Linked DNA regions of Rattus norvegicus. The protein of the gene in region 3 purifies or fractionates together with the protein of the main gene of each other region. This does not show direct contact. Links are inferred from orthologs where the notes say so. Each region holds a gene or a part of one and is shown on either strand. Other genes may lie near its edges. The genes, in order: Erbb2, Erbb4 and Lrig1.

Region 1 (9,917 bases), on a different chromosome or scaffold from region 3:
GCATTCCAATTTCAGCAACACAAAGCAGGCCAGAACCACATATAACATCGGAGTGATAGAGGCTTAATTAGAATCCAGGTTTCCACAGTTCCCCTGTTTCTTCCATTAAACCTTACCAGACTCATGCACGCACACACAAACATACCACACATACACATACATGGACACACCACACACACATACACATACATGGACACACCACACACACACATACACATACATGGACACCCCACACACACACACACACACACACACACACACACACACACACACACATATACATGGACAAACCACAAACACATACACATACAGGGACACACCACACATACATACACATACATGGACACACCACACATATATGGACACACCACACACATATACACATACATGGACATACCACACATACATGGGCACACCACACACACACATACATGGACACACACACACATGGACATGGACACACCACACACACACACACACACACACACAAACATATATAGCATACATACAGATACATGGACAAACCACACACACATACACATATATGGGCACATTGCCCACACACATACATGGACACACCACACACTCAGATACATGGATATACAACATACACATATACACCATACGCACACATACACATACCAATGCCACACCCCCCACAAACATAAAACACAATAATAATTCTCCAGTGAGACCAATAAACACAGAGGCTCAGGCAGGGCAGGGTGGCTGGGCAGGGCAGGGTGGCTGGGCTAGGCAGGAGGTCAGAAAGAGTGGCAGCCACACCCCACTAGCCAGTTTGTTTATCTGATTTGTGGTTGGTTTGAGTAAGAGTCTTAAAGTGTTTGTAGACAGGTGGGAAAATTGGTACCCCGAGACCTCCTCCAGGGGAGCTCAAAGCTGCCAGCTGACACCCCCCACGCAAAAACACACCATGCTGACATACAGCCAAGAAAGCCTTTGGACCCCTTCCAAGTCTCGGCCTCCCTCCCACTCCCCACTCTTTACCAAGCTCTCCCCACCAGCTCTGACCACAGTCCCCATAACTATCCTGTCCCAAGAATTTCAGGGTGGGGCAAAAGGCTCTAATTCTTCACGGGATCCTCTTTGCCACCAGGACTGGTGTCCCCTTCAGAAACCCCATCTTCCAACTCTTGGAGACAAATGCAGTGTCAAGCAGGGCCATCACAGAGCGAGGCCACGGCCAGTGACTGCTGGATAAGCATCTACTGGAGGGAGGAATGAATGAATGAATGAATGAGTGTGAACACCATCTAGTGAAGCGCTTCCAAGCTGAAAACAACAGGTACCCATCCCTCTGCTCAGTGCTGACCCCAGCCCTTTGGGTCCCTCCTGCTGAACACTAGTAACCAAGGTTTAACTCCTAGTTTCAAGCTTCTCTTCTCCTGTGGGTTCTTGTCTCCCAACTGGTTCACACTGTGTCCTTTCTTGTCTTCACTGGCAGCAGCACTGAGGAGAGAACCCAGGACCTCCTGCATCCTGGGCCCCCAGCTGCTATCTGGCTTACAGTGTGAAAGCCAGAATTTTCCTTTGGTGTTGATAAACCCTGCCAGGAAACTACCTACATCCCCAAAGCTCCCCAAGCAGGTCAGAGGCCAGAGCTCACTCAAGTGACATCAGGACTCCCTTGCCACACACACCTGCTCTAGGAAGCTGGTGTCGGAGTGGAGTTTAGACTCTGGGTCTTTTATCCAGAACCTTGGCTCAGCCACTCTTGCTTGGGCTACAGGAAGGATATGCTCAGACCTCCAGGGCAGAAGCTAAATAAGACTGAGCTCTAAGCCCAACAGCGACTGTGACTTAGTTGGCCCCTCCGTGAATATTTACTGACCTCAGTTTGGCAGTAACAACTCTCACTCCCCTCCGAGGGCCCTGAGCGCTAAAGGAGAGGAGGAAGAGAAGCATTCAGTAAATATAAGGACGCTCTGTAAACAGACCCGCAGCAAGCCCAAACAGCAGCTTTAACGACTCCCTCTCTAACCGCCTGAGGACAGAGGTCCCCTGCCAATCCTCTGCCTGACTGGTGGCCTAGCAAATCACAGAACTGTCACTCCCTGAGACCCCTGAGAGCTCTCCACAGGGGAAAGGAAAGGGATTCTCCTGGGATCAGTCCTTCACTCAAGGGCAGACACACCTTCCCTGGATCCTCCTTTGCTTCCCAAGCCCAGCGTGGGCTCCACTAGTCCTCTGGTTTCCACTTTAACTACCCACTTCATTCCCATGGGTCTGTATGTCCTGGTGGTCTCTGCACCTTCCTGCCCTCCATTCCTGGCACTATCGAGGGCCCAAGAGAAAGGCTAGCATGTGCTGCACACAAACTCTGCAGCCAGGAAGGCACCCCAGGACCCCATCTCGGGGTACCTTCTCCAGCCTGGGATAGGGGTTAGGAAGGCCACACTGAGTAACAGAAGAACACTTTTCTGTGTGACTGCCCGGCTGCCATGAGGCTTTCCTAGTCCATTCCTGTTTGATGACTACAACTCTGACCACCTCTAAAGGCCCCCCCGATACGTCTCTTCACTTCTCTGAAGTAGAGCTTTTTTCTGTACACACCTGCTCCACAGGACAGCGCAGAGAGGGCACAATGCCATCTACGAAAAGGGATCTGCTGTGTAGGAAGCACACAGAAGTTTTTAGAACGGGAGAGACGCACTTAGAAGGATCTGGGTAGTTACAGGAGAAAAGAGAAAGACCTTCCCATTTGGTTTTGAAATGCGGTATATTTTTCTTTTCTCTTGTTAGGGTTTGTTTTATTGGATGTGCGTGAGTATTTTGCCTGCCCTTGTGTGAACACTACACACATCACGCCTGTGGAGGTCAGAATTAAGCATCAAAGCTCCTAGTAGTGGAGTTACCGGTGGTCGTGAGCCACCGTGTGAGAACTGGGACCTGAGAGACCCCCAGGTCCTCCTCTGCAAGAGGAATCTCTTTCGTCCCTGTATAGCAAAAGGTAGGAGGGGCTCGGAGAGAATCATACTAGAATTGAAATAGATATAAGCCTTGCAAAGGTAAAGACCTGTGTTTACTGCGTTTTGCAAAACCTTAAGTACATAGAAGCCCAGCAACATCTTGACTCTCTGGGCCTCTCCATATCTCCTTTCCCCTATACACCTGCCCAAGACCGGTTCTGAGGTAGAACCCGGAGCTCGAGGCAGCGGATGGTGCACTGCCTTTTTTTTTTTTTTCTTTCTTTTTTTTTTTTAAAACCATTCCTGGCAAGACAAACCGTCTTACCCCTCTGCACCTAGCAGTGCATCTGAAGGGATGACGTCTCAGCAGCCCTCCGCTCTGTCTGGCGAGCAGACCCCTCCCCCTCCTGCTCCACAGCACAGAGCAGTTCAGTCCTGGCCAGCAGCAGACCCAACTCAGGGCAAGGGCCTAGCCTCACTCTTCCCAACGGAAAGTCAGAAGGAAGGCTGGCCTCCTGAGAAACTGAAAGGAGACTTCAATCCCAACAAGGCAAGGGGCATCTCCCAGTGTTTACAACAGATAGAGCCCAGAACCTTGAGGGAGTTCCTAGAGAGGGCAGAGTTCATCCCGTGTCCCCAGGTCAGCAGAGAGATTGCTATTTGGCAACAGAAACCCGGACGGACGCACGAACACATAACCATCATAAACACCTCAGACATACAGGGGTATCCCACAGAAAGCACAGGGTGTACTGATAGAATGGGGGCCGGAGGTCGGGGCATAGATGGTGATACCCCACCAGCCTCCAGGCTCCCTGGCCTCTGGAAAACATCTACTGCTCCCAGAACCTGTTTTCTGCATCTTCAGTACAGCCCACTGATTAGGGAAGCCGTGTCCCCACTGTCCTGGTAGACTCGCATTTCTGTGACTCATATCTCATATCCTGTGGCTGGTCACACTGCCTGGGGTCCACCGCTTATTCTATGATACTTCATTTCCCCAGCCCAGGTTTTCACCCTGGGACAATGAGAAAGCTACTAATGTTTCCACTGTGGAGTTGTTCTCAGTACAGAAGAAGGAATGCGTGCAAACCGCCACCCACGGAGCCTGGCAGAGCTGACCCACAAGGAGTGACTATCGGCTTTTACGCTTATGGTAGAACTGGACATATGGGTCGGTATACACACTGCCGGGTCACCCTCCCAGCCCCCAACACACAGACAGAGGCAAGAAAACAACCTCTCTGTCCACCCTTAGCTGACCTGACTTCTTTTCGATGCCCTCCCCGCAAATGTCCAGGAACCCTTCCGACTTTACTGTACGGAAGCCGGAAAAACACAAGACCACCCTTCAAGAGCCGAGCTTTCCCAGAATCCCAAAGCACACAGTACTTAAGCTGGCTCTATGGAAATTTGTTCAGAACAGGTCTGTGGAGTATGCAGCCCAGTGGTAGAGGGCTTGCCTAACGCGCGAGACCGGGATGGAGGGTGGGGGTGTCCCATCCCCAGCACAGAAGAAAGAGAAAGAAAAACTGTTCAAAACAAATGCCTGCCCCTCCTCCCCTGCTCCCCCAAATCCCAGACACCGTCAGAGAAGCAACTCAACGCGGACCCGCCACTCGGTCCTCCCTGCTCCACAGGACGGGTTACTTTCCCCCACCGCCCCCTCCACGGCGACCCCGCTGGAAGCTGGAGTAACTTACTAAACCCAAAGGGCCGAAGGGGGTGGGGAGGGGGAGGGGCGGGGCAGAAGGGACCCCGAAGGCATCCTCCCCAGTCCGGTCCGGAGGCGGAGGCTGCCAACTGGAGGAGCTGAGAAAGCGTGAAGGGGCTCTGAAAGGGGGAAACAGGCGCACGCACGCACAGCGCTTCACACACCCTCCGGAGGAAAACTTTCGGACCAGTTTCAGAGAACTTTGCCGAGGAGTTCCCGGAGTCTCCTGGAGTCCGGGAAGCTCCGGTGTGGCCAGAAGGGGCCGGTCTGGACTTCCAGTGTGGTCCTCCGAGTGGCTGTCCCATCCCCAGCTGCTCCGATCTCCTCCGGGCCGCGGTGCCGGCAGCCGGAATCGCCCCATCGCCCCGGACCTCCCGGCCGTAGAGCTCTCGGAGCTCCGCGGCTCCGGCCGCCCGTGGGCGCAGCCACAGCGGCCAGAGCCCTTCCCAAGCCAAGACCCACCTTGGGTGCCCGCGATTCCGGGGGGCAGGAGGGCGAGGAGGAACCCCCAGCGGCACCAGGCCGCCAGCTCCATGATGATCATTGCGGCTCCGGCCCCATGGCTCAGGCTGGACCAGGCTGCGGGCGCGGGGCGCGGCGAGGGCAGGCACAGGCGCGGCGCCGGAAGGGGCCGCCTGGGAAGGGGCGCTCCTGGGCTCCGGGTCCCCAGCGGCGGGCAATCTCAGCTCCACAACTTCACGCCGCACTTCCTCGAGCAGCCCTCCTCCTCCACCTCCTCCTCCGCCCGTGATTGGGAGCCGCGCGCTCTCGGCTCGCCCCCCCACCCCTCCAACTGCATTCCAGCAAGACTGGGAGTGGCTGCTCCCAGCTTCACTTTCTCCCTCCCGGCGCAGGCCTGGGTGCGCCGTGCCCTGTGCCCCGACGCCTAGCTTGCTTGCTTGCTTGCTTGCTTGCTTGCTTGCTTGCTTGCTTGCTTGCTTGCAGTTCTCATCCACTTCCTAAAAGCACAGCATCCCTTTACCCGTCTTTGCAGTCTCCGGTTTTATCTTGAACACTCCTGGGACGTTTGCATCACCCTCTTGATATCAAATACTGGGTCTGCCGCCACATCCTCAGGTAAAATCGACAGCCTGGGAAGAGGATGTGTTGTGTTAACTGGTGACTTCCAGGACGCTCTGGGATATCAATTCTATACTTTTGGGTATCTCCAGCCTGATCTTAGAGGAACCCACAGAACTAAGAGGAGACAGTCACATGGGGTTGGGGATCTCGGTCCTCGGAAGAACAGCTTCGCCTGTTTCTTTTTTTTATTTTTTTCTCTTTTTAAGACTTATTTTTATTTCAAATTATGTGTATTCATATGTGGGTTGGGGGGGTGTCACATAAGTGCAATTGTCCACGTAGGTCAGAAGAGGAAGTGGGAATCCCCGAAGCTGGAGGTACAGGCAGTCGGGTGCTGCCCTCTTTGGTGCTGGAAACAGGACTTGGGTCCTCTGCAAGTGCAGTGCATGTTCTGAACTGCTAAGCCATTTCTCCAGCCCCATGCCTGCTTCTCTATGACTTCACACAGTACTCAGTTTCATTCAGCGTCTCCTCTGTCCCTGTCCTTTTCTCCTGCCAATCTAACCCTGAAATACCTAGATGCCACTCCTGAAGCCTGGTGACAGGTGAGGAACGGGAAGAAAGGCATGCCTTTTGTTGGAAATTTCAAGAACACATGGCAGGAGACATGTTTACACGGATGAATTACCGTCGTTTATCTGAAATTCAAATTGAACTTCATTGCAACCTTCCTTTTTATTTGCTAAATCTGGTGATGGTACTTGGAATGTTCCAGTCAAGGACACACCTGTGCTGGTCAAAATGCAATCGGAGTTGTCTTTGGGGGTGGGAAATGAAGGGTGGCCCTCACTTAATCTACTTTCATTGAACTGAAACACAGTTTCAGGTAGACACTTCCACACTAGGGACCAGAGAACATGGGACTCTGGTATCCAGAAGACCTGAGTTCATATCTTCACTCTATCACATACTAGCTGTGTGACCTTAGGCAACTAACTGACCGTCTCTGAATCTTGTTTTACAAATCTGTAAAACTGAGAAAAGGGCTAGAGGAGAGAGCACTCTAGAAGCACTCAGGAGGGTCGAGCTTGACATATAATAATTGCTCAATAAATGATCCCAGATTAGCAATTCTGGGGTAGATGGGATGTTCATGGGGATCAATTTTAGGTGTTCCAAGAGAAAGAATACAATATTATAAATCACACCACCACACCCAGAAGTAGAACCAGAGGGCTGAACCTGTGGTTTGGTTGATAATGTACTTGCCTAGCATGCACTGGGGCAGGAAAGAGGAGACAGGAAGGAAACTGAATAGAGGGAAAAGATGTATGTGAATCACATTAATAAGAATCACATGTGGATATATATAGATATATATACACATATACATATATGGATATATATATATATATATATATATATATATAGAGAGAGAGAGAGAGAGAGAGAGTAGGTGATGATATCCAGTGATTTACGTGATTTACTTCTTGGATCATTGTCAAGAATGCTCAACAAATACTCACATGTATTATATCCCTATTTTCAGCTGGCGATAGTGGCTCACCATTAGAATCCCGACACTTGGGAAGTTGACGCAGGAGGATTGAAGTAAAAAATATTAATAATGAATGAAATACATGCAATCATACACACACACACTCCTATTTGAGATTATGAAAATCAAGAGTCAAAAAGATTAAGACGTTCGCCCAGGACATCTTAAGGCGATGGGAATTCGGAGCCACAGCAAAGCTGGATTCTTACCCCAGCCCATCTTCCGGCCCCTGCCCTAACCTAGGTGTCCTTCAGAGCTGTAACTCCTCAGCTCTCCTGAAAGACGATATACTAACCTGGGTTCAGTGCCATTGCTGGCTGTCCCTTCTCTCCCAGCCCCGACCCTCTCCTGCTCTCCATCAGTGCAGCTGAGAGAGAGCTAAGTAAGGATGGCCTGGACATTGAACCCCAATTGTATCATTCTGCAGGCACCTCCCTCCTCTCCGGACTCCCTGAGGTTCCAGGTATTGTATCACTAGTCTTCATTTTGCAGAGCAGGCACCCTGAAATTCTAAGCCAGTGGTTCTGTTCTCAACCTTCCTAATGCTGGGACCCTGTAATACAGTCCCACGTGTCGTTTTCATTGCTACTTCATAACTGTAAGGTTGCTGCTGTTATGAACCACAATGTAAATAGTTTTAGAGAGAGACGAATTCAGAGGGGTCGCGACCCACATTTTGAGAACCTCTGTCCTAAGCGGTAACTGCAACTTTGTAAAGTCATACACAGCTGAGCCTGAAACTAAGCCAAGAAGGCTTTGGCTTCAACATTATCTTCACGCAAGGGACCCATAAGTCATCCCTCTCCTAAGACTGCTGTAGTGGCTCCTTCATCAGCCACCAGGGTCCCTCCATCTGCAAAAATACCTCCTCCTCTCTCCCTTCTTCCTGCAAGCAAGCCCACGTACTGGGCATCCCAGACCCCTGGAAGAAGCCCAGTACTGTAGACAATGCTCAGCCCTAGTGGGCTGCATGGAGGGCGGGGCCTGGGTGCGGAGCTGGCAAGGGGGGCGGGGAGGAGCTGGGGTCAGAACTCACGCCCTGGGGAGGAGGCTCCGGAGGGCTGAACCTCCCTGAGAGAAAGAGTGCATTCAGAGCCTGGAAGGAAAAGGAAAAACCTTCTCTGGTGTTTGACAAGGGGAGAGGAAGGGGGGCAGGGTGGGCGATGCCGTTTTGATTCTCTGCTCAACTGTCGCTTTACTAAGGCCTGGCAGGAGAGCCAAGGAAAGAGGATGTTTGGGGACAAAGACTGAAGGGGGAGACTGGGGAGAAGGGGAGGGGGGTCGGAGGCTGAGAGTTCGAGACAGGCCCAGTGAGGGAATTTCGAAGACGGACGGGGAAGAGAAGTTGACTATATTCCGGGCCAGAAACAAGATTCACCTGAGAAGATCCTGGGCAGCAGAGAAGAGGCAGTGGGGGAGGTCATTGACATCGAAGGCACAGGAAGGGGCTCTGGACGCTGGAGGTGACCTCTAAGGGTCACCAAGCCAGGGTCTGAAACCAGTGGCCTGTGAAGTGCCAGTCAATCATTGACCAGCCTGGGGGGCACAGAAGGTGGTGGTGGTGGTGGTGGTGTGTGTGTTATGTGTGTGTGTGTGAGACGCGCGCGCCTCCCTTCTGCCTACCTCACCAGCCAGCCCTCAAGTCAGAGCATTGAAAACAAACAGAGAAAGGGAGGGGACAGTCTGGTCCACAGTCCGAGGTCCATGCCACAATCTAGGCCCCACTAAGGAGCTTTGAGACTGGGATGCAGCTTGCAAAGGGAAGTGTCTATATGGATTAGTTACTAGGAAGGAGCTCCCTCAGTGGACACGAGGCCTCCCTGGCACCAAAGGGGAATAAATCAGATGCTTCTGATCGGAAAAATATTCTTTTCCTAAAGATGGCCTCTTTTAGCCTGGTGGTTGTAGCCGCAGGCTACACTTTAATCCCAGTACTTGGGGAAAAAGAAGCAGGGAGATATTTAGGAGTTTGAGGCCAGCCTGGTCTACAGAGTGAGTTCCAGAACAGCCCAGGGCTACACAATGAAACCCTGACTCAAACAAAACAAAAGCAAAAAAAAAAGTGTTTGTTTATTTTTTCTTTCACAACAACAGAGTGTCACCATGTAGCTCTGGTTGTCCCGGAACTCTCTGTGTAGACCCGGCTGGCTTCGAACTCTCAGAGATCCTTGGTGCTAGGATTAAAGACTTGCATGACACTATGCTCAATTATGGTGACCCTTTTTAAAATAGGGGTAACCTAACCATGAGGACTGATGTTTCGCCCAGGCTTAACCCTAATCTCAAGGATGGTGCTCAATTTCTGGCTGGGCTGACCCTTTATCTGTTGGTGTAACTCCTGCACCAGGAATGCAGCCCCAAGGTTCTAGAATTCCTTTTATCTCTCAAAGCTGCTTTAGAACAAAACTGAGCCTCTGACAGTGAGACCATGTCTAGAAAAAAAAGTCCCGAGGACTCAGCAGGATTTTCTGCGCAGAATGCTTCCAGAATGCCTCTTCTGTTTCTGTACCTGTGGAGATAGGATTTTGGTATGTCATCCAGTCTGGTCTTGAATTCCTGAACTCAAACCATCTTTACTTCCTAGGTGGCCAGTGGTATCTGCTGCCACCCCTGGCTTCCCATTGGTATTTTTGGATTGAGAGCTTAACCCCCCTTGCTTGTCTCCTAGGGGCCCCACTGAGGCATTCCTTCC
Region 2 (9,725 bases), on a different chromosome or scaffold from region 3:
TCAGAAAAATAAATGCTTAAAAAAATTATGTCAAAATACTGACAAACTCAGAAAGATACATGAACAATGAAATCTGAGGACACCATGAAGCAATTCCAAAAGGTGTTATTTGAGAGAAAGAGTTTTCCCGAGTAAGTGCTAGAAAGTGAAGATCCTCCTTGTTTCTTTAAATGGGTGCTTTCCAAACAGAGACAGCCTGCTGTGGAGTTTATGTTGTGTTTACAAATGTATGCACAAATGTTTTAATTGTATGTACAACTTGAATTCCGTGTACAGAAACACTTAACAGGTTACTAGAATATATCTCAGGATCACTGAAGGCTTTAAACTCATTGTTGTGGAAAACTGCTACACAGTAGAGAAATATGCAGTATCTTACATGCATTCCCTGGCCTCCCAGGCAGGTAACCCAACTCACAATGACATGGAATGATTCTGACAACATTAGGAGCCTAGAACTGTCCCTAGGATGTAGAAGTCCTGATTTAAACCTTATGGTATGGTCTATGCTGTCTTTCTTATATAGACATGTAAAGTCTCCTTAAAATTATACAGAAGTGCTATAGTTTCATCAGATTTTTTTAATTCAGAACAAATAAATAAATCAAAATACTCTCTCATTATAATCCATAAACTCGTATTAATAACTTTATTAGCAATAACAAAATTATTTTCTCTGACTACTCAATATTTTATTACACAAGATGAATATTGGAAAAAAAGGGGCCAAGTTAGTTGCATATGGTGAAATGTTAACCAAACAGACCACCTATGATTGTCTGATCTGGGGGAAGCTGGTAATAAGACTGACTTCTGTCCTCTATAGCACATTCAGTATATCTCTGTAAAGGATGACAGGGTGGTCCTGACATTTATACTTGACATTCATTATACTCTTGTAGATTTGAACATGCATTAGCTAAGTTCAATGTTGCTATGAACATATCTACAAAAAGAGTATTTCTCAGAAATGTGGGATTAAGCAGGTCAAATGCCAATAGGTTTGTTGGTAGCAAAACATTTCTTCTGATCTTTTGTTTCGTTTAGGTTTTGAGAACTTACTGGTGGGCATCCCACAGCAGCAGAACACTGCAAAACCAAAAGTTGTAGCTATTTTGAAAACACAAACTTAATTTTTTTTTTGTAGTAATTGACCAGACAACGCACAAAAAAAAGCAATGCAATATTGAAGATCTGCTAATTTGGCACACTGGGTAAAACGTACACTTTACATCGCCATTAATCTCAAAGTGGCTGTAATCAAGCTTCAGGGAATACTAAGAGCACAATTCCCTCTCGTCAGTAGCCTTTGTTACATGGCAGTCATCCACCTGTCCATGGTCAAGGGGAAAAAAGAAGGAACCCACAGGGAAAGAGGCACTTCTCTGTGGGAAGATTTGGCCTTGGAGTCTGGGCTTTTGAGATGCCCTAGTGATCTGGGATCGATGCCGTTTTATTTTCTTTCAGGAATAAATCTGAGCAATGGAATGGCTTACGATGGTTCAGCCAACCAGCCATATCAGATTTATCAGAGAGAAAGAATGAAAACTGGCTTAGGGAACTCCTGCAGTGGCTGAGTGGCAGGTTGCTGGGAAAGACACATACAAAATGAATACACTTAGTGGTGGAAGGGAGAAATATATATTCACATGTGCCTAAACTCGATAAATAATACGTAAGGGATTCTTAGTAATGGAAAGGGTGAATGTGTAAGACAGATGATAAATAGCACTTCTATTTAAGAACCAAAGAGATGAAAGCTCATGAATACTAAATATTTGAATCCACTTTGAGGAGGAAATATGATTTTCTATCAAGTGAATGCAAACTGTAAAAAAAAAAAAAGCAGCCAATGCACACACTATTCAGGTTAGAATAAAAAATATATAAATCTTCCAGCACATACAAGCCCAAGCCCCAGTAAACATTCTGACATAATTTCCTAATTAAGACACATTTTCAGAGACTAAATGATATATGTATATGATATACATATAATATCATATATATATGGTTGTGTTTTTGAGAAATTTGAGTTTCTGTGCATGCATGATTAAAATAAAGGCAGTTGAGTTGAAGAGAGAAATCAACAATGAAGACAGAAGCAGTTATTCCACTTCACCTCAACCATAGAAACTTACCGTGTTTTCAAGTAATTTGAAGCTACAATGCAAGGTATCCATCCATTTAGAAGTGTTCCAAATGAAAGAAAACTACGTTCTTCTATAAAGCTACCTCGTACACATGCACGGTTTTCAACATTGAAGGAACAAAAGGGGATAGTGTGCCTATGCTCATGAACATTGCAAATGCCCTCTGAAGAAAAGATTCATGCATTATTTTTTTTAAAAAAATCTATGTAATATTTTTCTCGTTAAGTTTCATTAATAACTTCTCAAATGTAGAATACCACTGGAATATTGGAGGAGGGGAATAATATACCTTAAATGTATAGGATATGTGCACACTTTGATTAAATGAAAAGCAGGGAGCTAAATAGCTTGCACATAAGAAGAAAAATGATCTTGTCCAGCACATATTACGGTTTGTGAGAATGTCACTTCAACACAACTGTATAGTTTTATTTCAGTAAAAAAGTGATGTTGATAAGTTCAACCACAGAAAGAAGGCAAACATTTTAGAATTATTCCTCCAGGTGGAATTACCATAGAAAGGCCTTTGACCAAAATGTTTATAGATAATATTTACCACCGGTAAAGAGACATAAATTCCTTGGAATTATTTTTTAAATACTCAAAAGCTGACTTTTTCCCCCTCAAGCAGAAGGAAAAGCAAGTTTTCCTACGTAAAATTTTCCCTAGAAACATCTTGAAGATCGCACAAGGGAATCACCCACTGTATGTTTTTATTCCGTTCACATCCAGCAGTAAATAAGGTGCATTCCTTCTGCTTAAGAAATTAGCATTTCAAAAATATGCCACTTCCCCCTGAACTCCAAGCGTGTCTAATAATGCGAGAAGCAGATTGTCTTCCCTCGTTTCCTTAATTTGTTTCATCTAAAAGCAATTCACTCAACATCTTGTCGCCCTCTGGCAGCTTAGTTTACTTATCCGCACTTAATTTCTCATTTGGACCAAAACAAACTCCTCCAAACTGCTGCCGACTGCTAACCGCGAGAGAGGAGACGCGCGCTATGTATTTACTTGGATAGACAGCCACACACGCACAGGCGCAAACACAGAGCCTCGCTCTCACCAGACAGCGTCTTGTTTTTATAATAGCACTACATTAAAACCAGCTGAACTTTCTCTGCCAGGTGCGGTGGAGGCGCCTGGAAAAAAAAGAAGTCCCTGGGGGCACAGACAGTTTCCAATAGATCACCTAAGTATGCTTGTTGCAATTATACCAGGGATGCACCCGAGAGCTTTTCTTTGTGCGGCCCTTTCATCTAGATCACTTTGTGTTTTGAACAAGTGAGTCTCTCTTTTGTGTCCCCAGAATTTCAAGTACAGAGTCACACACACACACACACACACACACACACACACACACACACACACACGAAACAACAATGGCACGCTAATCCTTGTGCTTCTAAATGGGCTCACTTGTGGGTCTGACAATTCGCCCAGGGAAAGGAGCAGAGAGAGCTAAGGAGCAAGCTGGTGTCGTCTGAGACGCGGAAGGGGACAGCTACAGAACTAATTTGGATTACATTCCTTGCCTAAATTCTGAAAAGGGCTCTTCGGCATAGCCCAACCGGGAGCTGTAGAGTTAATACCAATTGCTGTGGACTTGAGGGGGGATCTCCCAGCGGCCCAGGCCATGCCAGACAGCCCCCTGGTAGGGTGGCCTGATAGAAATTCCTCTCGGCTAAGCCTGCATGACAGTTGCGAGTGTCTTTGAATGGGTCAATGTGCATAATCAACCCATTGAAGGGAAAGGCAAGGGGCTCCGAGTGGGAAGCTAGAAAGGGATGTATCTAGGCGGCCGCCTGGAATCTCAAGTCCTTGCTGCCGCTCTGATTCCAGAGGTGGCTGGAGCGCAGGATCTGGAATGCACGAAGAATCTCGGAGTCACTGGGAGTATGCAAACGGCCAGCACAAATGGCGAGCTTGTGCCACTCGAAGGTCATTTTGAACAGCTCAGAGATTGTAACTTGTTATTTACTAGGCGAGGAGGAAGAGGCGGGAGCGGGGGCGGAGCGGGAAAACTAGCAAGCAGCCGCTTTCTCGGTGAGGTCAGAAGGACACCCTCTAGGGACCTAAAGCTCTCCCTGTCGCCACTGCTGAACGCTTTATCTTCTCAAGCTGACTCCCACGTTCCCGCCACCAGCCCCGGAAGGTTCCGGAAATCTCTCTGCCTTCTCCAAAAGCCCTCTTCTCGCCCCTCTCAGCCGGGTCAGACACACCGGTTCTCCTTAGTCCTTTCGTGTCCCCTCCTCTCATCCGGGAGAAACTCCCAAGAGTCAAAAAACTTTGAGCTCCTCTACGTCTCAGCCGCTGTCATTGGCCTTGGCGGCCCCAGCACGCCAGCGACTCTGTGCTGCCTCTCGGGGTCAATTAGTCGTTTTTCTGTCCAAATACCTAGGGCTTGGGCGATCGGGCCAACAGTGGCGGCACTCAGGAAGCCGCCACCCGGCCCGCCTCGGGCTAAGTCAATGAGTGCCACCCGCGGGCTCTGCAGCCTGGCGGGGCAGTAAACAGAAGTTCAGGCCAACCCCAAGTTGCACTACTGGAAGAACTCTTCCCGGAGCCAAGACCAGCACCGGGAGGGAAGGCCGGGCTCCGGGCTCAGTATGCCAGGATTTTTTTTTTCTTAAGAGATCTTGCTGGCAGGCGAGCCAGCCCCCCCCCCCTTCTCGCCCCAAGTCAATCGAAAGACAGCCCCGAGATGCCAACCAAGAAGGCCCAGAGTCCCTGGCCTCTGGCCGAGGCGCGCACCCGGTGCGCTCCAGCTGCCCGGATAGGGCTGAGCGTCCGATGTGACCCCGCAGGGTACGGGAGACTCGGGCCGGCGGCCGCGTGCCAGCTTGCTCAGGTGCCAACCCCGCTCCCCAGCCGCGCTCCGCCGCAGCCCTGCACCCCGGGAAGGCCAGCCAGGCTCAGCCCGGGAACCTCCTGGCGGCCCGAAGAGGTGCAGAGATTCTCCGGTTTGGTTTGATTATTTTTCCCTTCCCAGCCGGAGGAGGAGGGAACCTCCACTGACGGGGCTTAGGTCTCCCACGCCCCGAACAACGGGCGCCACCAGAAGCGATCCCGCTTAGGCTCCCAGAAAACGCGCCAGAAAGAAAGAAGGGGGCTAAAGAGAGGGCGAGAGGGGGGACAATAATACAGAGGGAGGCAAGAAAGAGGAGTCATTTGTAGCATCAATAAAAACACACGCACGCACGCACACACAAAGGTAAGTTTGGGATGGAGCAAGGGGCGACCCAAGCCAGAAGCAAGGTCCCTACGGTCCCTCAAGCCGGAGGGTGACAGAGGAACGAGGGGAGAAGGGAGCCACCGGAGGCGGTGGCGGGTTCAACAGCTGGAGCGCGACTGGGAACCGCGAGACCGCGACCCACCTGACTGAGAAGCGCTGGGCTGGACGGTCCTGGCTGCCACCAGAAGGCTCCCCCAGACCCACAGTCCCGTCGCCAGCTTCATTTTTGGCAAGTCTCAGATCCCGCGCTGACAATTACATGTCCAAATACCATAGCCACTTGCGGGCACGCGGAGGAGATCTCCCCCCCTCAGCCGGGAGCGCGTGGGGGGCGCGAGGGGGGCGGGCGCGGCGCGCTCTGTGCACGGGCTTCCCGGGGTTGGCGAGCCAGTCGGCGCTGGTGGCGGCTTCCAGGACCCGGGGACCCGCGGACCCAGCAAGGGGCCGCGAAGGAGGGCGCGCGGATGGGAGTGTGCGCGACTGTGCGGCTGGTGCTCCGAGCACAACCGTACAGCTAGTTTCCGGAGTGATCCTCTGCTCGCCCGTTCACTCCTCACTTTCTCGCTCGCTCTCTCTCCTTCTCACTGGTTGGTCAACAATAAAAAGAAAGAGGGGGAATAAAGGCTTCCAAAAAAAGTTGATTGCGAAGAGGCGGCAGGGTTCCGGCCTCTCCCCCCAAAACCAGGCTATGTTCAGCTCTCTCTTCAGTCTCCTTGCATCTCCTGTCCAAATCTGGAGGGAAAAGGAGGGGGGGTGCTTCTTTCCTTCTCCCCGATCCTGTGCCCCTTTTTTTCCACTGTCAGCTTTCCTCACACTTGTCCAGCCATTGCAGTAATTAAAGCTCCGAGCGTCATTTCCAACGCTCCGCGGTCTCCAGCCGCAGCCCCACAGAGAAATTAATAAGACTCAGGGAGAAAGATTTTTTAAAAAAGAAAAGAAAAGAAAAGAAAGAAAAAAAGAGGGGAGTGGGGGTGGGAATCAAACAACCCTCCACGCAACCAGCCAGGCTTTCCTCCGCTGCGCAAGCCCCGCCCCTGCTCTGACCCATGTAGCCACGCCCTCCCCCTAAGGAGAAATCTTATTGGCTCAGACACTCCCCAAAATCCACTGCCCCTAGAGTTGGGAAAACACCTGTCAGGCAGTGGGAGCACGGTGTTGGTAGGGGCTCCTAGGGGAAGCAGGATCTGAGAGGCTCAGTGGAGACCACAGTCTGAAACGCTCCCCTTGCGACTGCCCTGGCAGAGGCCCTGGACAGCTGGCCCGCCGAGAAGTCAGTCCACCAGAGGGAATGCTTGCTGAAGGAATTTTTGACACAAGAACAGGACATTTTCTTTATTGCTCCAAGGCATCAGTCCACACGCACGACTTTCCCTAGAAATAGAAAGTCAGTGTTGCTTTGGGAAAAAAAATATCTCGGTCCCTCTCCATCACCCCAGAACGTTCCGTGCTTAGTACTTTAAAATGGATATTGCAGGTAGCTGGTAGCCTTGCAGGTAAAATAAAACCTGCCAACAGTTCTTGTCTTCCCAAATAAGACGCCGTCTCTCCCACCTTCCCAAGATGACATTGAGCCAAACTTAAAAACCCATATTTGTGAAACCACATCCTTTGACTCTGAAATTATGCCAACTATCTTAAGCCTGTGCTGTTCGGTCTGAATGTGTTTAGGAGGTCAGGTCATAACTATAGGACTCAGGCCGTTAGCTTTAAACCTTAGCAGAGCCAGCTTGAGGCCTTGCACTTGCTCTCACTTTGCAGGGTGTGTGCTTCCAGGGTCATCAACAGCTGTAAGACTGAGTCTCTCTAAATCGAAAATGCCCTGGAAGGGATTACTGTGGTCTGAGGGGCCACAGGTCCAAAACCACTCTAAGCTGGAGCCAAGAGCTGTAGGGAGTCAGAGGTTATTCTATGTGTACTGCTATTCTAAAAAGCCATTTTCTTTGCTTTCTCTCAAAGCAGTGAAAAAAAAAAAGGCAAGGGTTCTTTAAGACCAAACCACCCTGCTTCCTCGGTCACTATTGGAGTCCTTCTCCTGGTCTCACACATCTTCTAACTATGGCCCCATCCCTCAAGAATTTCCAGGCAGCTGAAGAGAGCAAAAACAGAAGCTTGAAGCTTGAAACCTTTCCCTGGCCCCACAGTGTGTAACAGGCCCACCGTAGGTCAAACAAGCTGAGTGTGCTTTTTACCCAGAAGCAGCCCAGGGCAGAGAAAAACGGAGCCCAGAGCAAGCGATGGGACCTTGACTAGAATGGCACGGCACTGACTGACTGCACAGGTACACGCATCCGGGCTTGGATGTTAGCTCTGTTCTCTTCTTTATCTCCTCTCCATGCTCATTTCTTCCTTCCATTTAAAGCATTCTCCTCCCGGTTTCCTTGTCTTCCAACGGCTTATGCTTACTTTCAGGTACCCTTTCTCCATAAAAGCTGTTCATTTTTACATCTGTCACCACGATAACAATTTAAATGACAAAAACAAGCTACTTCTGGGGGGAGTTTTAGCTCGTATATTTTGTTAGAGTCCAGTTTCTGGTGACAGTTATTTTTGGAAATGGAAGAAGTTATAATAGCTAGATTGTAACTCCCGTTGTGAGAAACAGATTAGATGTGCAAATATCTCACGGTATTTTCTAGTTGTGCTTATTATGAGGACGTCTTTGTCTTCATTGACCTTCAACGGACTGAGAGTATAATACCTGCCTGGCATACATGAAACCCTTAGTTCAACTCTTAGTGCTAGAAAATAATACCTGTACCAACATTGGTGCACAACTACAGCAGGACCTCTATGTATGGTCTAACTTCACCTAGATTTTCCAGACTAATTCTTAGCTGACGAGGACTTTTACTTACAATCATAGATGTTACCATCGCTGTAGAGCTGATATCCACCAATTACGTGGCCAACGTGTCCATAATGTGTGCCTAAATCTCAGATCAGTTTGTCTTAACCCATATTTTCCTAGTTCTTACTGAATCAAAAAGTAATTGACCTGGCCTTCGGTTGACATTTGGCCAACAGCTTTCAAGCCCTCAAACTGGACATGAAAGCTATGACTTACAGAAGCACGTTAGGTTCGATACTGACATCTTAGTTTTGAAAGCCTAGCTTAGATCGTTTCAATATCAGAAACAGGCATGTATAGAGGAACGGGCTATCCTGAGCAGGCAGAGATTAAAACAGAATACAAAAGGATTATTATTTTACAGGCCTGCTGTCATCGGCTTCCCATGTCTGCTGAATTAGCACAAAGAGGAACTATCACAGAGAACATTTTCTACCTGGTATGGGAAGGACATGCTATCTGAATTGCCAGAGGCAGAAATAGATCTCTGTATTTCCCCACTTTGCAGTGCGGTGCTATAATGAAATCTTATCAGTTGACTAAAATGTGTGTCTAAGACTTGAAACCAGGCCTGATGGTGGGGTTGTGGGGGATGATGAGGGAAAAAACAAGTAACTCATTTTTTAGTCAACCACAAACAAGGAGCAAGAATGATCTGCTGAATACCTCTTCTCGCAGTTCTTATGAATCTGAAAATGCATCCACATTACAACACTCTAGTGTGTTCTAAGTTGGACAAGTCAAACACACAAAAATGCCTCTGTCACTGTTGATTGGATGAGAGACAGTCCTTTCCACCAAATCCCTTCCCTGGGATTTTTATTCCTGGGAAAGAAAACGTTCACATTCATTCTGCCCATGAAACAAGAAAGAATGAAACAGCCATTTGAAAGGAACAAAGTCCAGATGGGTCTGGAAAGGATTCAAGCTCTTTTGTAGTGTTTTCATTAAGCTAGTTCAGTTTTCCTTTTGTTACCTGAAACCAGAACTGTATGGCACGAGAAAAGAACTTTGCAACTTGAACGAGGTGGTGCAGGTCCTCATTCTCCCTGAAGAAGATGTCTTCACAGGGACTAAGCTTCAGTTTCCTGGCCTATCTTCTCATCACTTCCTTGCAATGAAGTCATGGTCCCAATTGCTACCTTTATCTTCCGATACTCCCCATCACTCTTTCACGAGTGACTCGCTGCTGCTGGTTTCTTCAGAAGGACTCACATGTGGAACTAAAATCCATTTATGTTCTGATTATGAAGAGTCACCACAAGAGGCTCACACGTTGCTGGCTCGCCTCCCCACCTTAGCTCCCTCAGATGGTGGAACCAATTTCATTAATGTCATTATTGTGAGAAATGCATTGATGAATTCAGAGTGATTGATTTATCAAGAGAGATAACTGTGTTGGATGAAGTAGGTCACTAGGAAGATGAGGGGAGATGGGTTATGCCTTGGAAAGTTTCTCTACTCCTTGAGTCTTGCTCTGGTTTGACTTCTT
Region 3 (9,886 bases):
TAGCGCCCAGACCAGGCAGCTCATAACTGCCTGTGACGTCAGCTCCAAGAGAATCCAACCCCTTTGGCATCCAGGGAACACCTGCACTTGTGGGTATATACCCCACAGGCAGACACTCAGGCACCCACATAATTTAAAATAACCAAAATAAGTATTTTTAAACCAACAAACGAAGCCCTGAATTACACAAAACATGACAGCATCGAAACATAAAGCATAAAGCTCTTACCTGAGAAAAAGAATGCCCACAAGAAAGTGTGGGCACAGACCAGCAGTTTGCAATTTAACTGGTGAAAAACTGAAATTTTCATTAGTACATAAAATACTTGGACTAAATAAATGAATGTGATTTCCACTGTACAAAGTTTAACCTCTGGTCCTCAACGAGGTCCATAAGGAGACAGAACCAAATGTGCAACGTTACTAGACACAGCAGCAGAAGAGAACTAGACCGTTACCCGCACAGAGCAAGAACTGAAGTAAGGAAGTCCACCCTTCATGGCCCCCACTGGTCCCATACCACGCCGCCTAAGCTTCAAGCCTAGCACTAATGATCCCCACACCTCCCATAGGCCAGGCACCGATTGAGATTTTTGCATATTTTTCTTCCTCAGCCTGGGACTTTTTCCCTCCACCCCTTTCTCCCTCTTGTCTCAAGACAAAGCTTTAACCTTGGAAAGAGCACCCATTGTAATCAACTCTGGATATTAGCACAGCCCAAAGTCCTGTTCTCTTCTGAAAGCTGCCCAGGGTTTCAAACTGTGACTGCTGAGGAGGGGGAAGGTCCCCAGTGAGTAAATGTCACCAAGCTGATCAAAACTAGCTGAAAGTTAGACTTACCCAGAAAACTCAGTCTTGCAACTAACTTATAGGGTAAGCAAGAGGAATCCCTTTTATGTTTTAAACAAATGAGGGAAAAGAGGAGAGAGAGGAAGAAGGAGGACAAGGAAGGGAATGACAAACATCAAAACCATCACCATTCTTACTGCTTACAGCAACTTTCAAGTCAATGAATCCCTCCTCTGGATTTCCCTCTCACTTTTAAAAAGCCATAGGCTACTTTTAGCAGCCACAGTCTGGCTTTCCTATCTCACAGACCTCTCTCTCTTCCGGGCAGGTGCATATTCCAGAGCCAGGTGTCTCACTAGCCTCTAGCCAGCTCTGGGGCATTTCTGTCCGTACCACGGAAACACAGAGAAGGGAAGAGACTCTTTCACTGTGAGCATAGAGCCTGACAGGGAAAAAGGTCAGCCAGAGGGCAACCCAACTGGTCAGGGAAGCAGCCCAGGGAACCCAGGAGAGATAATTAGCCAAACAGGGAGGAGGCTGGAGAGCAGGCACACGGGGACATGGGACAGAAAGAAGCTCTGAACACCGCATTCTGCACTGTCCCCAGCCTTCTCAAGACCGTGCCAAGAATTACTGCCTATAATACACTCAGAAGTCCAAAGTTTGTGAAATCTAGTAACTATATGTAATTATAGAACAAGATGAGTGCACTGATTCTTAAAATAGTGCCTCGAAGGGGGACAATGTGATGAGGATATGGCTCAGTTAATAGACCTCTTGCCTAAGAGTATGCAAAGCCTTGGGTTCAATCATCCTTACAGATCTTTTCAACATGGTCTCATAGCAGAGAAAACTTTGAAAGGTGCAAGTACCCTCAAGATCTATCTGTAGGGCTGGGGGTGGAGCTCCTCAGCAGGAAAGCACAGTTGTTTAGCATGTCCCAGGCAGTGAGTTCAGATCCCTAGCACCACAAAATAAATAAATCCATCTCTACCTCAAACAACCTCCGACCCCAAATCGAAACAAGCTCAAGGTCTGCTGAGCTCTTAAAGTGACATGAGACAAAAGCGAAAGAACGGGTAAGGAGGGACTGTGAACCAGCTGGGTACTTCATGTAAACATGCAAGCCTGCACACTCGCGCACGCACATGCACACACACACACACACACACACACACACACACACACACACACACACACACATAGCAGTTTGGATTCTGAAAGGATTGGGTCATCTGACTTGCCTAAGATAGAAAGTAATTTCCAGAACCTTAATTCACAACACTTCGCACACCTAGCCCTTGAAGCGCAGCTGTAGAATCAGACAGACAGGGGCTGTCCTGGTTTCCCAACTCTCCAGTGAAAGCACAGAATACATATTGCCTAATGTAGCCTTAACCACCACTTAAACCAGCAAAGCTAGATTTGAGCCAGCCAACCTGATACTGCAAACACATAATACAAGAGAAGCAAACCAATCCACACTCACTACCGGGCCTCAGGATGACTACATTTGGTGCCCTTTCCTAAAGGCCCTTGCTTTTGAATCCCTGTCCCATTCCTCCACTGAACAAGAATCCGAGAACTGCCCTCCTGAGCCTGCCTACCTCCCACTCCCAAGAGGCCATCAGTTACCTCTCAGAACGTTAACAGCAACATATTTTGTAACTAAACTCTCTGCTCTAATTTAGACAGGTGAGAAACAGTCTAAAGTAAATCTATAATAGTTTTTAAAGAGCTTCTGAAATCATGCTCTCAAAAATAGTTTCAAGGAAAACAAACACCTAAGTTCTAAGAAGTTCAGCCTCTTGTAAGGTTCTGGGAGGTGTGTGGCGCTACTTGTGAGTGTTCTGATTGGACCATGCCGATCTCACCTATGCAACAGGACAGGCCACTCGGTTAGGCTCCACCTCTCTAGCCATAAAGAATATGATTATCCTCAGCCTTGGAGATCCCCTCCATCGATGCTGGTGATGCTACCCTCCATTTTTTTACTCACACTAAATTTTTATTCACTATTAAAAACTTTTAGCTTCTCTACACTTGGCCTAAGGACAACTCCAAAAGTAGATATGTACTGTTTACAAAAATGGGAGGAACCGATAAGCCCAGGACTCTTGCTATCGCAAACCTGCAGCCTGGAACTGTTTGAGCAGGCTGCTGTAAATCTACTTCACAGGCTTATAAACCAGCTCGAAGCATTTTCTAGACACAATGACCTTAAAAGGTGTAAATCCAGTGAAAATGCAAGATACTTCATTGTATCATACACGGAGACTTTCTCCACTGCTACCCTGCCGAGATAAAGGCAATGGTTTAAAAGGAAGGCGCTGGTCTTGGAGATACAGTTCAGAAGGAGCTGAGCGCCTAGCATGCTCCGGACCTAGGCTCAACCCTCAGTATCAGCAGGGGAAATATTTTGAGAAATATGAAGGTTAGGAGACAATTCACACTTGATTGCACTTTAAGCAGAAATAAAACAAACTTGTAAGTATTCTTCAAAGCCCTCCTCCCGTGTGTGTGTGTGTGTGTGTGTGTGAGAGAGAGAGAGAGAGAGAGAGAGAGAGAGAAAGAGAGAGAGAGAGAGCTCAAGCACACTCGCCCAAGTCACCACATACTAACCCAGAACCCAAACTCCTTGAATCTTAAAACTAATCCATTAAAACCATCTTCAGTAGAGTCATAGCTCCTGAAGCCCAAAATACCTAGTCTGGTATTTATTGATCATTAAATTGTGTGAGTAAGAGAGACTGCAATTTTAAAGGTATTTATGCTGTGTGAATTGTCACTTGTAGGCAACCAAAAGCTTAAAAATGACTAGTTGAGTTCCACTCCAAAAAAGGGCAAGGCAAGGTGGGTCGTGTGACAAAAGGCAAGCACAAATAAGAGCTCTCTCTCCAGGAAGTATGGTTCAGGACCTGAGAGCATTCCTCAGGTTCACCCATGACACAGGCTTTGCAAATCTCCCAACAGGTGAACACTTGAGAAGATATTCTGACTCTACCCACATGGTTCTATTATGTCATCATCATCATCATCATCATCATCATCATCATCGTCATCGTCATAATAATAAAAATCCCATCTTAAGTATGAGAAAATAAAAAACCTGAAATACCTCAAACTGCCTCAACTATTACTAAATAAAATCTCAGCAAAGAGCAATAGTGTGTTCACCTCCCAGGAACTGACAGAGCCACAGGGTTAAAACCCACTCTAAGACCACGTATTTTCAGTAGTGAATTCCACAAGGGAAGCAGCCGCTGGGGGGAGGGAGGGGCAAAAGGCAGCAACAGTAGCAAAAGGGTCTCAGCTGGCTTCAGAACTCACACAGCAGCCTGCCCAAGTGATGACGTAGAGACCTAGGCCTCATTCTGAGAACACAGAGTCTCCTTATTAGAAAAGAATTAACTTCTCTCCTTCAAGACAGTCAGATAGTCAGGCCCCGGTTTTCAGCAATGAAGCCACAGGTGTGAGTTAAAGCCTGCGTCATTGATTTTCTCTTTTTAAAACAACAAATGTCATGACTGAAGCTACTGCTGTACTTCTTTATGTCCTAGGAAAGACATTCAAGTGAGAAGCAGACTACTGAAGCTCGGCCTTTTTCTGAAAGGTACTAATAGTTCTAGAGATGCTAATTACTGATAGCTGAGCAAGATTCGACTCAAAAGTCTTTTTTTTTTTTTTTGAAGTATAACAATGCTATTCTATCCCACTACATTTACAGAAATCCAACGTCTTTTTGTTCCTGACAAATGTCCTGCAAAAAGTATCCCACCAACGCCGGATAGGCCCAAATCCCAGCAACAGAGAAATGTACCTCTGTGGGGTGAAACAGACTGACAGAGCCAGCCAGACCCCCTGTCAATGTCTCCTGAGGTAGCTTGTCAACTAACTTGTGCCATTTATGGAAGAGAAACTCGAGGGTGGGACCAGACCCACCCCAGTGGATCAAGCCCAAGGGGACCCCAGGGAACAGACAGGAAAGGATCTGGAACACAGTTCCTGTGCATGCCAGCCATGCGGAAAAGAGGGAACAGCTACACTCAAGACATGTCCAAGAACTCTCTCAAAGCTTTTCGATTTCTGGGTTCTCCGGAGCAGGGTCCTTTTGCCCTAGTCAGTGCCAAATCAAGCTGCCACCATTCTCTGGTGATCAGGAGACTGCAACACACGCTCACTAATAAATAATATAAATAGAATGAACACTGGAGATGAGCGTCACCGTCATTCATTACTAACTGGAGGTTAAGTTGAGGGAACTCAGGACACCAAAGGGCTGGGTTACAGAACAGACAGGAAAAAAGATACACACACAGATCCTAACACAAGACTCCCACACTCTGCCATCGTCTATCTCGCATGCACACAAATTCGCTCACCTCCACTCTTCACTCACACACCCACATACACGCACTTCGCGCTCGACAGCACACTCACTCACCTTCAAGTCACAAACCCGTGGTTCACCTCCACGCCCCACATTCGCTGGCCTCCACACTTCACGAAACACATTCAAGTCACCCCTACACGATCCCTCATGCCCTGCATCCTCACGAAAACACACGCTCGATGCAAGGCAGACTTCTCCAGAATCACGCTCACCTTCAAACCCCAGAGGTATAGTCCTCTCTCCCGAGCTCCCCACGCGTGACCTCCACCCGGCCACCCAAAAGTCTCCCAGCCCACAGAGCGCACTATCTTCCCCGCTGAGAGCACCCGCAGCCCCGTCTTAGTGACAGCGCCAGGATGAGAGGCGAAGGCGATACTCACAGGCTCCGCGTCCAGGAGGGCATGTCCCGGGGCAGCGTCGCCAGCCCGCGCCCACTGCAGTCCAGCGAGTCCCCGGCGCAAGTGCAGGCGGCCGCGCAGGGCGCCCGCGGACCGGCCTGGGCGACCGCAGACTCTGGCCCTTGCAGTAGCAGCAATAGCAACAACAGCAGCCAGAGCAGAAGGCGAGGCGCAAGGCGCGGGGCCCCGAACACTCCCGGACCCGGCCGCGCCATCTTGTCTGGAGCGCGCCGCGAAGCCGGGAAGCGAGGGCTGCGAGGTGCCGGCGGCCACGGGCCCGGGTTGCGCTCGGCGCTAGGCTCCGCGCCGGGGCATGGACGGCCGGCCCCAGTCGGCTCCGCGGCCGCTGCGCTTAGCCGGCACGCTCTGCCCGGGCCGCTTCGCAGCACCCTGCGGAGACCGCCACCCCCGCGCCCATCCGGGCCGAGCCCCGCGCGCGGCGAACTCTGCAGAGTCCAGCGGTGAGTGCTCGGCCGCCGCTGCTTGTCCTTCCCGCCGCGTTGCGCGTTGCCTTCGGAGCCCGGGCGCACGCCGAGAGCCGCTGCTGCTGAGGACTGAGAACGCTTAGCCTTGGTCTCTGCGCGTGGCGCAGGCGGGCACCTCCGGGAGGACTCTTGAGCTGATAGCCGTGGACCCCACGCGCCTCACCGTCCCGGAGCGGCCGGAGCGCACTGTGCCTCGGAGCTGCGAACAATCAGCGGCTAGCCCCGCTGCGGTCCAACCCCGCGGCCCCAGGCCCCGCCCCGGCTGCTCGCCCTCACACACCCCTCCGCTGGGGCCCCCGGGCGGAGAGCGGCCCACGTTGGCTGCTGGACTACAGCGTTACGCCCCGCCCGGCCCGTTGCTCATTGGCTTCCGGAGCCCCGGTCAGCTTCCGAGCCCGTAGGAGCGCTTGCTCTCCGAGGCCCCGCCTCCGCTCTCTTTTCCCACCCAAGGTGTGAAAGGCGGGGACTGGGCGGGGACAAGGAGGGGCGTGCTGTCTCCTCTTAAAGGAGACTTGCAGGATTTTGGCTACGGAGTACCAGAATCTGGAGAAGTGGCCTAAGCAACGGTCCGTTGAGCCTAGGGGAGGAGAGAAAGTTGGGACTGTAATCCAGGACTTTGGGAGCCATCTGGACCCAAGGTTTGTTCTGCTCTCCTAGACTACAAACAGCATGGTGGATTTACAGCAAACGAGCACCCTTTTTTCAGGTGCCTTACAGGAGAAAAAAAAGATTTAAAACTTTCGCGAGTTTCTCAGCTATTTCCTCAGAGGCGGGCAGCCTTTCTCATTTCTGCTCCAAACTCGTTCTTCTTGATATCTAAAATCCAGAAATGTGTCCTTGACTACCGAAATGAATGTATGCGAAGAAATTGAATCTCGAGGGCACGCCCACCTTCCCCGCTCCTAGTTAGTTGATAGTTCGGGAGGTGCTCTGGACTGGATAAAGGGGCAAGTTGTTGTGGTGTTGTGTTTTGTTTTTGAATATCGGAGCTTTTAAATACAAATACAGTTTTCAGGAAATTATCCGTGACGTACTCTTTATGGAGAGAGAGAGAGAGAGAGAGAGAGAGAGAGAGAGAGAGAGAGAGAGAGAGAGAGAGAACCTGTGAGTTTGGCACATACAGATCAGCATAGATTGGTAACCGCCTTGTGAAATAGTGCCTGGCCGTAGGTGAGCGCGCGCGCGCGCACACACACACACACACACTTAATGGAGGGGGTGGTGGAGAGAGAGAGAGATTAGCACTGTAATACATATCTGCCGCCTCTGGGAGCTTTGACTTGCTGGTGTCTCAACTGTACACACAGTCAGGGAAACTAAGGCGCTAGAGTCTTCTGGAAAACATTTGTTCTAGCATGCTAAATCTAACTTAAGTTTTATAGAAATGGAGTAGAAATGCTGTTCATTGGGAAAAAAAAAACCAAACGGTTAAAAGGTTTTCATTACATATTCGACATATTCAAGAAATTTGCTTCGATGCTAAATGTGACTGTCCCTCAAGTTTTTTTTTTTAAACCAAAATTGGACCTGAATTTAGTAGTCAAGTGATTATTGCCTGGTGGGCTGTGCTTTCTCTCTGTGTCTCTTCCCCCTCCCCGTCTGTCTTCCCCCTCTACACACACACACACACACACACACACACACACACACACACACACACACTTCTTTTTTGATTGTTTGAGTCTCATCCTGTAGGCCAGGCTCCCCCAACCTTTCCATCCTCCAGTTTCAGCCTCATGAATAACTGGCTGGCATTACCAGAGGGTGCAGCATGCCTGGCTTTGCTTGCCATTCTCTTCATCCTCCTATCAGCCTTCCCTTTCTCCTGATTGCCTACATCATCAAATCAACGCTGTCCGGTTTCTCTCCCTCTTTTCTGTTTCTCTCAGAAGTGATGTTGAAGCAGTGATCACGTGTGCATAAATTAAGCTAAATGCAATACCTCAGAAATATTAACAGAAAAGCTCCCAGTAATAAGTGCACACGTGAACAGGAACATATGCACTGCACACGCAGTCCACACAAGCATATACCTTCCACGAGGATAAGGAGAAACCGGTCTCCTTGTTTTCACCCCTTTGGGTGGAAATAGTAAACTAGGGACAGAGTACAAAAGATCTGCAAACTGGACGAGTCTTCTATCATGGGGCTTAAGTATCATGGCACTCAAGCCCAATCAACACAAAAGAGAACATTTTAAAGATTTAGTTTACTTTTAATTGCCTATGTGTGTGCATGTGTGTATATATAAGTGTGTGTATGTGGGCATGAGTGCAGGATGTCCGAGGAAGCCAACGGCCACTGTAGCTTAATGCAGGTAGTTGTAAACCACCGGACACGGATGCTGGGAACTGAATTTTCTGTGAGAGGAGTATGACATACTTTGAAACAACATCTCACTATGTAGTGAGGTTAGCACCAAACTTGCAGCAATCCTCCTGCCTCGCATCCCAAGGGCTGGGACAAAAGAGTAGTTTAGACCAGTAAGCTGAGAGAATGAAAGAGTAATTTGATCCCTGAAACCGACAAGGTGAAAGGAGAGAGCTGACTCCTGCAGGCTGTTCTTGGCCTCCATGAATGAGCACACACCCAAATCTAATTTAAATTTTTATTTTAAATTTGCAATGATTTTTTTAAATGTTATGTGTATGTGTGTTTTGCCTACATATGCCTATGTAGCACATGCATGCCTGGTGGTGCCCACAGAGGTCAGAAGAGATAATCATATCCCCCTGGCACTGGAATTACAGACAATCTTTAAATAAAAGAATAATTTAATTCAGAATGCTTGTGAGCAGCATGCCCTTAAAGAAACTTCGGGTCATCCCCACACCACCCCTGAATCAAACCACATACTAAACACAACTGATCACACTTCATGAAACCCGGCTGAAAATTACCTTAAGGTTGGTCACAGTAGAGTGTTAACAAAATGTTTTCAAATGCTGTGGGTGGGGCTATGAGATGCACCTGGGGACTCCAGCATCCTAGAGGACAAGGTTTGGGGATCTGCAAGGTAATTTGCCCCCCAGATCCACAGCATCCCCTGTGGTCTGGTTACCACACCACCAGAGAAGAGGATTCCAAACCGAGAAAGTCTTTTGGGGAACGGGGCGCCTGAGCCTTGGCAGTTCTTCTCGTCTACGGCAAAGCATGAAGTCATGTCTGCTCCTCACACCATGTATGGAAGTCTGCCCACAAACTAGCAACCTGCATGCGATTGCAGCAAGAGTGTGGGCTGGAGAGCAGAAAGCCAGCTTAGGAAAGAATCATCTGTGGCCACAACCTAAGATCAGGAAGGGAACACCAAGGGAGACTCTTAAGGAAAACTGCCTGCTAGAACAGGTCATGATCCTTACAGCACAGAGCTGATCCTCCTTCTTAATCTGTGTTTTGTCTGTTTATCTATTTAATCTAACGCTTTAATATTTTTTAACTGTGCCTCATCTGGAACTTGATAGGTAACAAAGAAATGACCTTACTGCCCTGATCCTCCTGCCTCTACCTCCTGAGTGCTTGAGCCATCTATCCAAGCATTCTAGATTTTACAGTTTGCAGAAACCAGTGCCCAGAACCAACAAGCGTTCAACACCCAGAAGAATTGCATCCAGAAGTCTCAGCAATACATCATGTTAAACCCAGTACTAGAAACCCACAAACTGCACTGAAAACATAGACACACACACTATAGGAAAGGGGCCAGCAAGATGACACTGTGGGCAAATGCACTTGAGGCAAAAGCCTGAGGACTTAAGCTCTAACCCCAGAGTCCATATAGAGGTGGAAGGGGAGAATCAACTTCACAAGGTTGTCTCTCGACC

Evidence for each region.
Region 1: the proteins of Lrig1 (region 3) and Erbb2 purify together in Homo sapiens (co-immunoprecipitation; 4 studies listed by BioGRID and IntAct, with this or other methods). This does not show direct contact. The link is inferred for Rattus norvegicus from reciprocal best matches to the Homo sapiens genes LRIG1 and ERBB2.
Region 2: the proteins of Lrig1 (region 3) and Erbb4 purify together in Homo sapiens (affinity purification with western blotting; 3 studies listed by BioGRID and IntAct, with this or other methods). This does not show direct contact. The link is inferred for Rattus norvegicus from reciprocal best matches to the Homo sapiens genes LRIG1 and ERBB4.

The regions. Positions count from the first base shown.
Region 1 is NC_086028.1:83,902,977-83,912,893, reverse strand, and holds the start of Erbb2 (receptor tyrosine-protein kinase erbB-2 precursor), read right to left. Parts: upstream 5,294-9,917; 5' UTR 5,189-5,293; coding exon 5,107-5,188; intron 1-5,106. UniProt on the Homo sapiens protein: Protein tyrosine kinase that is part of several cell surface receptor complexes, but that apparently needs a coreceptor for ligand binding. Essential component of a neuregulin-receptor complex, although neuregulins do not interact with it alone.
Region 2 is NC_086027.1:78,039,965-78,049,689, forward strand, and holds the start of Erbb4 (receptor tyrosine-protein kinase erbB-4 precursor), read right to left. Parts: upstream 5,643-9,725; 5' UTR 5,610-5,642; coding exon 5,528-5,609; intron 1-5,527. UniProt on the Homo sapiens protein: Tyrosine-protein kinase that plays an essential role as cell surface receptor for neuregulins and EGF family members and regulates development of the heart, the central nervous system and the mammary gland, gene transcription, cell proliferation, differentiation, migration and apoptosis.
Region 3 is NC_086022.1:128,781,944-128,791,829, forward strand, and holds the start of Lrig1 (leucine-rich repeats and immunoglobulin-like domains protein 1 precursor), read right to left. Parts: upstream 6,277-9,886; 5' UTR 5,796-6,276; coding exon 5,563-5,795; intron 3,765-5,562; exon of another isoform or gene 1-3,764. UniProt on the Homo sapiens protein: Acts as a feedback negative regulator of signaling by receptor tyrosine kinases, through a mechanism that involves enhancement of receptor ubiquitination and accelerated intracellular degradation.